Cricetulus griseus: one gene and its partners. The protein of the gene in region 2 purifies or fractionates together with the protein of the main gene of each other region. This does not show direct contact. Links are inferred from orthologs where the notes say so. Each region holds a gene or a part of one and is shown on either strand. Other genes may lie near its edges. The genes, in order: Traf3ip1, Ift57 and Ift172.

Region 1 (3,517 bases), on a different chromosome or scaffold from region 2:
AAGTTCAGTTCATCAGGTTTTCCTTTCTTGGAACCCACTTGGGGTGCTGCCTCTAACTTGCCTAGCTCACTCCTAAAGACCTTCTCTTCCTCCTTCCCCTAACTGAAGGAGCGCTCACTCCTCTTTGAGTCAGCATGGAAGAAGGAGAAGGACATTGTTTCCAAGGAGATAGAGAAGCTCAGAGTGTCCATCCAGACCCTGTGTAAGAGTGCACTTCCCCTGGGAAAGATCATGGACTACATCCAGGAGGACGTCGACGCCATGCAGAATGAACTGCAGTTGTGGCACAGTGAGAACAGGCAGCACGCTGAGGCCCTGAGCAAGGAGCAGAGGTGGGGCTGCAGAAGGGAGGGGGTGGGGCTGCAGAAGGGAGGGGATGGGCTGCAGAAGGGAGGGGGGGGGCTGCAGAAGGGAGAGGGTGGGGCTGCAGAAGGGAGGGGTGGGCTGCAGAAGGGAGGGGGTGGGGCTGCAGAAGGGGAGAGGTGGGGGATCTGAACGAGATACTGATGAACTCATCCAAAATTGTAACTGAAAGAAATAGACTAGCCACTGAGAAGTGAGGTTTATTTGGAAAGCTGTTTTATTTAAAGGACATTTATTTAGAAAGGTCCCCTGCGTTTGTAATCAGTAAATCTAGAAGCACATGACTGTTAACATGTGGCTTTTTCTTCAGAACATACGATTTGACTGAGTGGTACGTCTGTAAGTCCATGTTACAGAAAAACAGAGGAGAGGTGTCGCCTGGCTGGTCCAGGCTGAGCCCAGTGTCTGTGGGGACTTGGTAGCCCACTTCCCTGCTGCCCCTTGGTCTTTTGTGTGTGTGTGCTTCAAGGACTTCAAGCCTGTCACTGAGGAAATAGTAGCTCCTTTTCATTTTGCTTTTGAAAGGGAATCTCATATGGGCTAGGGAAACAGCTCTGTAGTAAAGTCCCTTCCTAGCATGAGGCTCGGGTTCTCTCCCTGGTTCTGTGGGAAGAAAACAAGTGATTGGCATTTTCAGGCTTGGTTGCACCACAGGCCTGGCAGTTGTAAGTGGTGCCTGGGGTCTGGCACTTAACCCTTTTCTTGGTGAAGTCAGCACTTTGCTGGAGGGAGCAGTACAGACAGAACCCTCAGGACACTGATGAGCTACTGGTTGTCTCCCCCCAGCATCACGGACAGTGCGGTGGAGCCCCTGAAGGCAGAGCTATCTGAGCTGGAGCAGCAGATCAGGGACCAGCAGGACAAGATCTGTGCTGTGAAGGCCAACATCCTGAAGAATGAGGAGAAGATCCAGAAAATGGTGCACAGTATCAACCTGACGTCACGAAGGTGAACAGCCAGCCCTGCGGAGATGGAGCCGTCTTCCTCATGATGGGAGAAGGGGAAGGAGACAGACATTCTGCCCCAGTCTGCTGAGAGCATGGACTGCAGATGCCTGGACCCAGCTAAAGTCAGAGCTTTCGGTTTAGGCACTAAACTTATTAAAAGGCTGTGTTTTTTTACTTCCAGCTGCAGTACTTGCTACTTTAGTTTTCAGCTTGCCTTTGTGGGAGGGCTTATTTCTCTGGGTTTTTTTGTTTGTTTGTTTGTTTGTTTGTTTTTTTCTTTTTTGGCAAATGTTTTCTGCTGCAGCCTGTTTAATCCTGTACCCAAAGTTTCTAGCAGGTAAGTTGTGTCATGCTACTGGGGAAACTGCAGGCCTTTATTCTGCTTCTGAGTCTCCCAGAAGGACTTCCTACCAGCACCGAGCAAAGGGTGACTGTGGACTTTGTGGTGTGTACTTTACAAATAGAAAGAGAACAAGGCCTCAAACGATTAATTTCACTTTCATTTCTACCTGAAAGGGGTATTCCAGCCGGTGTCCTTGAAAGGTGCCTGTCACCTGTGCAGGGTTTCTGCCCTTACTATCATACCTGCATCTTCCTGCAGTCTCTCATGGCCCTGCCGTCTGCCTTCCTGGCAGTTCATATGCTGAAAATCAGTCTGCCCTTCACGGATCCATCTGATGGGAAACTGTCGCTGTTCACCTCCTTGGCTTTCTTCAGCCTCCAGGGTTCTTCTGGTGGATAAGCAGTCCCCCAGGCCTCCTAGGACTTTGTAACATGAAGGGCAGCACAGCCCTTTTCTTCTGTGTAGGTGTGTGCACTGAGAGCTGGGAGAGAGGGAGACTGCAAGGAAGACAGCATACCAATTCACAGTTGCGTTTGTTTTCCTTTTCTAAAGGTCCTTTTTTTTTAAAGCATAGTTTTTATGGTTTATATTCAGTTTTCGCCAACGTAAAATACTGTAAATACTTATAAAGGTCTTGAATTATTGTCTAAAGGATCTCAGGCTTTGGAGATGTTCTTGTGGCTTAAGGTCTGAGATGGTCCTTACGTTTCTGAGTATTTATTATGTTCACGAAGGCGAGCCCTGAGCACATTGTTTCCTGAAGGCTTGCACATGTGGCACAGTTACTGTTTCTCAGTCAGTGAAAAGCAGCGGCCCAGCCCTCAGCCTGGGGCTGTTGCCACAGTGTGGAGACTCCTTCAGTGGGTAGTCTTTCTCCTGGCTGAAGCACACCACACTTCTCTCCCACCCAGATCCTTCTGAATAGTTTGAGGGGGATGGGAAGGGAAGGCTTGTAGTCAACTAGTCTTTTTTATGTTGATAATCTCTTTTCTACTAAAGTGAATGGCTTAGCCATAACTGTAAGTGGACCCTCTGTAGCCCAAGTTAAGACATATATATATTCATAACCTTTTATGAATTTGTATATATGAATAGAATTTTTATGTTGCAAAAATTACATACATTGTATGTGAGTAAATTTTATATGCTGTAGTCTATCAGATTGTATCATAAAGTTTTATTTTTCTTTTTTACATAAATCATTAAAATAATCACCTATTTTTCCTATAAGTGTATGGGTTGTCAAGTTGATAAAAAAATGTAAGCTTTTGGACTTTTAATTTCAGATGTGTCCAGGGGAAATAGCTTCTCATCCAGACTGTGACACAATGCTTTTCCTGTAGTGATTGACACTTTGTGAGCTCGCTCCTCTTCTGCTAGAAGGTTTAAGATGGCATGAGGCATTTCTGAAGGCCTGTATTGTGACTGTCTTTGTTTTGGGGATATACACATTAAGCCCTGACCTTACTTTGAGAGAGTACAGAAGTAGAATTCCTAGGTGTTTCCCTCGCTGGTTTATAAGTTTCTAGAAGGATGGAGTTACACGGTATTGTGTAACTCCATCTGTGAAGTTACAGATTCAGCTGACGTTAATCCGAGCCTGGAAGAAATGTGTTCAAGTCGCCTGGGGTGCAGTGGGGAGATGTTCCAGTGAGTAAAGTATTCACTGTGCAAGTGCGAGGACCTGAGAAGGGACCCCAGAACCCGCATCAAACAGCCAGATGTGGTAACTCACATCTGCAGTCCCAGAGCTCCTACAGCAGGATGGGAGACAAAGGGGCGTCCTCAGGGGCTGGACCAGCCTGGTCTATGCAGCAGCAAACAAGACCCTGCCTCAGATGAGGTGGAAAGAGAGAACTGACTT
Region 2 (3,750 bases):
CAAGAGTGCAAAACATGTAGAACTGCTCACCTGGGTTGGTAGGCAGAGCAAAGTAGTGTCTGTTTCAAAGCAAGGGAGAATGGGAAGGGAGAAAGGGAGAGATAAAGCAAATCAGCTAGGAGTAAGTAACACAGTCAAGTCCACAGTTGCTAAATATGCCCCCAAGCAGCCTTCACCAACACTCTGGAACTATCTAGAGATTTGCAGCACTCACAAAATTTTCAATCAGTCACTACTGTATACAAAGTACACAACCAGGGAATGGAAGGAAGTATATTTTGGAAAATAAATACATGATGCTTTTGTAGAACTTGATTAATTGCTTGCTTATAAGTGAATTTCCCCTAAAAAAAAAAAAAAGGTAATTCTGAATTATGAGACTCCTGGAATTTAAGAAGCACTAATAATTTACCATGTTTTTGCTGTTTGTAACCTATCAGCTATGTCAAACAGCTGTTTCCATATTTTCTGTATATTCAAACCAGTTCCTAAAAGTACTACTAGATGGCGAAAGCCTGGGCTTCCCCCATTCATGGATAATCACAACTTGTGGGAACAGAACACATCACAAGTGCATTTCAAAAGTTCCCAACTTAGATGGTCCAGGGGTGCAGCAAGAACTAAGAACACATCCCCCAGGATCACAACTGCTGAATTTTGCTAAACCCCTTATTATACTAAATATCCTCCAATGAGGATATGATTTATACAGAGCCATAGAGGGCATAAAAGGTCTAAGTAACATCACTCAAGAAAGTTGAATCAGAGATCTGCTTTGCTTTCTTTGCGCTATCACTATTACACAGATTATGTGTATATACATATTCAATTATGACATAGGAATCAGTGGTCTATACTTCTATTTTCTATCAAGAAAATATAAATGTTCTAGAAGAAAATAGAAATCGAGGAAATTTTAAAGGGTTATGAAGTCTTTTCAGGCATAGGCTTATAAAGGATCTCTCCACCAACAACTGTGTTTTCTTTATCAATGGGCACTCCTCACCGACAGAGGAATGAACAGTGACACAGGGGCCTGTGAAGGTGGTTCTCAAGCACGAGGTACATCAGAATCACCCAGAGGGGTTGGTGAAACACTTTGTTTCCAGAACTCTGAAAAAGCAGACCTGGACAAGGGCCTCCATTCCCAGGTGATGCTGACACCTTGAACCACTGGCTAGAATACATCCACACAAATCCATGGCACGAAGTGTCTCACTCACCCTTTGAGATTTAGTACAGCAAGATATTAATAATAGCATAGGCCAGTTTCCTTTTGTTTGACAAATGCATTTGAAAAAAATTAACAGTTTTCAGAACACCTAAAGTGTTGGCCATCTGTGTTATTATCATCAATTCATTTTAAATAATAATCCAATCCTAAAACTTCTAATCATGGATCAGGATCAAGATGAACTTTCTTCTCTAACTTTTCTCCTTTTACAGACTAACTCTGTGTTATGGACAGTTTGCATAAAAGCCTAAGTATCTTTCAACATGAGTGTCTGGAAGATGACAAGAACTGAAAACTGTCAAGAGAATTTATTTGAGCCTACCTGTAGACAGTAAAAGAAAGCACCCTTGACAATTCTTTTTATTTGCTTCTAACAGAACAAAACAAATAAATACCAACAATAAAGGAACAGCAATAAATCACAGTTATCACCAAGGTATCATGAATACATGAGAGGGTGCTGTCTCTCACTTCAGGCAACTAATGGCTCTGACTTCCTGATATTCCCGAACATTTTTCCATCAAGCACCGGGTCGTTAGGTTCTATATGAGAACACTTTTCATTTTCATTGCCTTCTCCACTTTCCAGTTTCTAAGAGTACTGTTGCTGCAAAAGCATTAAGACTTTTGAACCATCGCAACTAGTCTACATGTTTTGCTCCTCAGGAGGCCTGAAGTACACAGTTGTTCGTTTAGAAAGTCTAGCAAAGGAAAACAAAAACTGCAAAGAGATCTCAATGATAATGGCATTAATAGATCAGTTTTTCTATCGCGTTTACCTTTTACTATGGGTGTTTTATTACCTTTAAAATAAGATTTGTGTTTGGTTGAGGTGCTTAACTGTTTTAAAGAACGGGTAGGCTGTCTTCCCCGGGCCTCCCTGCCATTACAAAACTTGTTTACTTTCTCCACAAAATGACCAAGTCTGAAAACTTCACCTTCCTCTGTGCACAAGTTCTCTTCCTGGGCAAGGAAGACACAGGAAGGCAATGTGCGGATCAGAACTCAGGGTCTTCTCCTCTAGAGAAGTGCGTCCCCTTGGGCCCAGCCAGCACCGGGCGCCGGGGACAAGACACGCACCTGGACGGGGGCTTCAGATTGCTCTTTCGGAGGAGCTCTTCCTCGTAGCGGAGCAGTTTCAGCTTCTCCACCAGGTCCTCCATCACCACGAACATGTGGTAGGCCGCGCCGGGCCCGCGCTCCACCACCGCCTCCCCTGCGCCTTCCCCGCGAGCCCGAGACACCCCATCCTCCAAGCCCGTCGGCGGGATCACTGCTGCCGCCGCAGCCATCGCAGCTCAGACCCACAGAGCCCGGCGTGGGCTCGGGCCAGGATCTCCGCGGCCTCAGCCGCCAGCACCGCGTAGCCCACACAGCCGCCACCGTTACCTGGCGACCGCAGGGCCGCCGGTCACCACGGCAACCACACCCCGCCTCCTTCGCGCCCAGACGGCCCCTCTAAATTCTGGCCAACCAGAGCTGGATTCCTAACTGACGTCACGCTATCCCCGCCCCCAGGCTGGGAGGTAGACCCGCCCAATAGGCGTGGCGACCCTTCCCCAGCCTCTCTGGCAACTCTCTCCCTCGCGCCTTAAAGGCGAAGGATTGGCGGCTGTTTGGCTCTGCAAACCTAGTGCAGCCTAGAGAAGAGCAGGATCTGGTTGTTTGCTCGGGGCTGGTGAATGTCTGGTCACCTGGGTAGCAATTCAAAGGACTGAAATGAAGCGGAACACAGTGCTGGAGGCTACTCTCCCACTGATCCTTAGTTTTCGTAGTAGTTGTGAAACTCGCTGTCATTAGTTTCAAGGTACCTCGGAAATTCCAACCACAAGACTGCTTTCTCTATTTCTTAACTTAATAGTTTGTTAGGTAGTGCTAGATTGAATAGAGTATTCTAAATAAGGCTTGAGGTCTTACTATGACCCTGTCTTCAATGGAGAAAGTGGTTGATTGAAAGAGGGTGGCGGGGGGAGGGGCACGTGGAAGTTGAAGTGGTAAGAATGGGTTTGGGGAAGTATTTGTGCCACCCTCACATCCTGCCGCTTAATCTGTTTCAAACCTATGCAGACGTAAATTCGTGAGTAGAAGCGCAATCCAACAAAACGCACTATTTGGAAAGGAACGTCTGTGTGACAGCGCTTATGGTTGATAAGGGCATTTTTGCTGTTATGTCTTCAGGTATTGACCTAGAAAATACAAAGGAGATGTAACTGACCACTAGTGTAAGTTATTCTTACAATGCTAAGAAAATAGCCCATCAGGCAGTTTTACTAACAGTTAAAATAAGAAGCGAAGCCAAGTAGCTGCTCAGCCACTTCTTAAAAGATAACTCAGAAGCAAGAGGTCAAACATTTGTTAGTTTAATCCTGTGGCTGTCAAGGCATCATTACATCTTGTATGACTCTCTAAAGAATGTAGAAGAATCACATTTTTTTCCATAACTAAAATCTGAAATGCATTTGTAAAATGCATTGTGATTAAACAAAGAATACACTTTTCCTTCTAATCTGATCTAA
Region 3 (3,750 bases), on a different chromosome or scaffold from region 2:
CTGCCCCTCTACTTGTTCTTGATTTTTCAAGAGGGAGGTAGCGGCGGGGAGAGAAATATTTGTTGCCATTGGCAACTGGTGTGCATGCAAAGCTTGGGGACCCAGCTTCTGTCTGGAGAGCATATGTTATGCTTTTAGTGGGGTATAGGTCTTGCCAATCTGGGACAGTCTAGACAGAGAAGGCCTACGGAAATCTCCTTTTCTGCATTTCATGCAATTTCTCTGATATGTTGCAAGAAATTAGAACAAAAAATTTTTGAAAGGATCCCGATCAAACAAAATAAAGACAACGGTATCTTTTCTGAGCCAATCTCCAACTCCAATGTCACACAGCTCCAAGCTAGGAGGGCGGCCAAGCTCTGTCTGTCCGCTGCGCTGACCCATAAGTCAAGATTGAACTCACCATTTACCCAAAAGCCAAATAGGGTGCCTTGCGTTTCCCTACCGGTGCTTCCAACACATCCCTCAAAACCCCGGATCATTTCCTGAGACTGTTACAGGGGAGAGAAGTTGAACATGGAGACAATGAGTTAAGATTTGAATCGTCTTACAGGAATTAAAAGGATATCAGCTCTGCCTTGAATCCCGGTTCCACAGTTTACTAGCTGTGACCCCTCCTGTTGTGTAAAACGGGACTGTACCTCTGTCCACTTCAGGCAGGTAGCATTCACTATTACCTATCAGTTTTGAGCGGCCTCGTGCAACTTTCGAGGCGTGGGGGCAGATGAAGATTGCAGTTCAGCAAATTGGCTTTCTCCTACCGTAGCACCTGCCTTGCTCTTGTCCAAAGTTTAAGCAACTAAAGCGCACTTGGCTGAACACAGCAGTGAGAGAAACTAGGGTTAAAGGGATGTAGGGTCGAGGGGCGGGGCTGGGGAGGGCGGGGACAGACGAAGACCTGTGGGTGGGGCTTTGCGTTGGGTTTGCATGCAGCAACGGGATTGGTTGAGGAGAGAATTCGACAACCCCTCTTCTAGGACTCACTGCGCTTGCGCATGTCCTGCTTGCATTGTCGCGAACCCACTACGTGACCTCATGACGTGTGTCGCACTCACGTCTCCCGTGCGTCAGCGGCTGGCGACGCCGCTGCTTGGCGGGTTGTCCAGGTAACCGCGGGAGTTGTCTCGGTCAGCGAGCATCTGAGACTCGTGCGCGTCATGCAGTTGAAGCACCTGAGGACCCTGCTGAGCCCTCAGGTGAGGAATCGCGTGCCTCTCCCATTCCCCGGCCACCCGGCGTTCCAAAAAAAAAAAAAGTGGGGGAACAGAAGTTTATGTTGAGCGCCTACTGTGTGCAGAAGATTGTGAAAGATCTTTCAGTAGGCAACATGCATCGGTTTCGTTGCATCACAAACATCAGATGAGTGCCAGGCCCCAAGCTTAGGCTCTAAAGGATCGAGTTGCGTCACAGGCTATGAGGGAGAGGCGCATATATAGACAACAATCATAAATCTACACAGGATGAAATAAGTGCAAGGCCAAACCTTCATTTTGATTGTGAAAGTGTGTCTCGTATTCACAAGAGGCTGGGGAAGGAGTCCAGGAACATAAAGGAAGAAGAGGTTTGGGAGTGAAGGGAACGGAGTTCAAGTATAGCACTGATTTGATCAAATGGTTATCTCTGGCTTTAACCCTCATCATACGTGGTCTTTCTATCACTGGCTTCTTCATTTGGGAAAGAAAAGCCACAGTAAGAGTAACTCTGAGAGACTTAGGAGAGAGTTAAATGAAGTCCTATACACACACGCACACAATAAGCTGGGCTTGGTGGCACTGAAGACCGATAATCCCAGAAATTGAGAAGTAGACACAGGAGGGTCAGGAGTGTAAGGCCATTATCGACTACATAGAGAGTTCAAGGCCAGCCTGGGCTGCATGAGATTCTATCTTGAAAAAAGAAAAAAATTGGGCCAGTGAGATGGATAGATAGTTACAGGCACTTACCACTCAGCCTGACCTACCTGAGTTTGAAGGGAAACACCAAGTCATGAAAGTTGTCTTCTGACCGACACACATGCACCACCTTACCACACACAATAAACAAATTTAAGGAAAAACTTTGGGGGGCGCGGTTTTCAAGACAGGGTTTCTCTGTAGCTTTGGAGCCTGTCCTGGAACTCTGTAGGCCAGGCTAGTCTCAAACTCACAGAGATCCACCTGCCTTTGTGTCCCAAGGGCTGGGATTAAGGCCTGTGCTACCACTGCCAAGCAGGAAAAACATTTTTTTTCTTTATTGATTCTTTATGTCTTCACACCATACATCCAGATCCCACCCATCTCCTGTCCCCTCTAATCTGCTCTCTGCCCTTCAAACTCTCCCCCAATAAAACAAATTTTAAGATTAAAAGAAAAAGGAAAAGAAGAAGAAACAAAGAAAGGAAAAGTCTCATCATGGAAGCTGTAGGAGAACAAACTGAGTCATGCATCAAACCCCTTTATCCAGTCATCTTTACATTCAGGCATTCATTGCAAAGAATCATTGGTTTGGCTTGAGGCCCCTGGTCTCTGCTGCACTGTTGACACTGGGCCTTAAATGGGACTCTTTCTGGAAGCCCTATTGTTGCTCTGTGTCGTGAAAGTGTAAGGAAAACGATTTAAAGAGCATTATAAACTGAAAAGCTGTGTGAAGAATGGTAGACACAAGGGAAGGCCATGGAAATGGGAAGGACAGGCTAACAACACAAATAAGAAGGTGGGCTGTGAGGCCATGGCTCCATAAGCTCAAGAAACTGAGTTCAGATCTCCAGCATCCACTTAAAAACCAGTCACACTGGGGAGGCAGAGACGGTTGGGTCCCTAGAGCTCATTGCCCAGCCAGCCTAGCCAAATTTATGAGCTCCAGGGTCAGTGAGAGACCCTGTCAACAAAAATAAATAAAAATAAAAAATTAAGGTGGAGCTGGGCAGTGGTGGTGCTCAACTTTAGTCCCAGTGCTTGGGAGGCAGAGGCAGGCAGATCTCTGTGAGTTCGAGGCCAGCCTGGTCTCCAGAGTGAGGGCCAGGAGAGGCTCCAAAGCTACACAGAGAAACCCTGTCTTGGGGGGGATTTAAAAAATAAAAGAATAGTGAGGCATGGTGCATCGTGCCTTGAGGCAGGCAGATATCTGTAAATTCAATCCCAGTCTGGTCTACAAAGTGAGTTTTAGAACCACATAGAGAGACCCTACCTCAAAAATAATAATAATGATGACAATAATAAATAAAATTATATGGCAGAATTAAGTCATTAATACATATATACCATGATAGCATAATTAAAGACATTAGATTTATAGCTCATGGAATCAAACATACATAGATTCAAATATTGCATCTGTCATCTAAAAGCTATCTACATAAATCTGAGCAACTTTCTTAATTTTCAGTGCCTCAGTTTCCCCATATACAAAATGGGAATAATAATAACTTCTTTCTCAGAGATATGATATTTGGTACTTACTGGGTGTCAAGCACTTATGAAAATGTCTGTCCTGCTACCTGTTTCACTTAATCCTCAAGACATGCCAGTCGGGCACTTATTGCAAAGAGAGGCGAATCCGTTGGTTATGGGACTCTGGGATGTTTTTGGAGTGCACTGAGAGTAGAAGTCAATTAGAAGAAAGGAGAGTTGTAGGGGATGGAGCCCTGGCTCAGTGGTAGAACAATAAAAAGTTGTACTCCTTGTTCAGTAAACTGGTGCTGTAATCTGTATTTTCAAAATCCCCTAATGGAAAAATTGGAAATAGAACTCTTTGGTCTCTTAACAAAAAGAT

The links.
Region 1: the proteins of Ift57 (region 2) and Traf3ip1 purify together in Homo sapiens (affinity purification with mass spectrometry; 3 studies listed by BioGRID and IntAct, counting the BioPlex papers as one, with this or other methods). This does not show direct contact. The link is inferred for Cricetulus griseus from reciprocal best matches to the Homo sapiens genes IFT57 and TRAF3IP1.
Region 3: the proteins of Ift57 (region 2) and Ift172 purify together in Homo sapiens (affinity purification with mass spectrometry; 3 studies listed by BioGRID and IntAct, counting the BioPlex papers as one, with this or other methods). This does not show direct contact. The link is inferred for Cricetulus griseus from reciprocal best matches to the Homo sapiens genes IFT57 and IFT172.

Annotation. Positions count from the first base shown.
Region 1 is NC_048595.1:443,047,177-443,050,693, forward strand, and holds the end of Traf3ip1 (TRAF3-interacting protein 1), read left to right. Parts: intron 1-108; coding exon 109-332; intron 333-1,149; coding exon 1,150-1,315; 3' UTR 1,316-2,883; downstream 2,884-3,517.
Region 2 is NC_048597.1:41,461,587-41,465,336, forward strand, and holds the start of Ift57 (intraflagellar transport protein 57 homolog), read right to left. Parts: upstream 2,650-3,750; 5' UTR 2,527-2,649; coding exon 2,315-2,526; intron 60-2,314; coding exon 1-59. UniProt on the Homo sapiens protein: Required for the formation of cilia. Plays an indirect role in sonic hedgehog signaling, cilia being required for all activity of the hedgehog pathway.
Region 3 is NC_048600.1:13,095,429-13,099,178, forward strand, and holds the start of Ift172 (intraflagellar transport protein 172 homolog), read left to right. Parts: upstream 1-1,157; coding exon 1,158-1,196; intron 1,197-3,750. UniProt on the Homo sapiens protein: Required for the maintenance and formation of cilia. Plays an indirect role in hedgehog (Hh) signaling, cilia being required for all activity of the hedgehog pathway.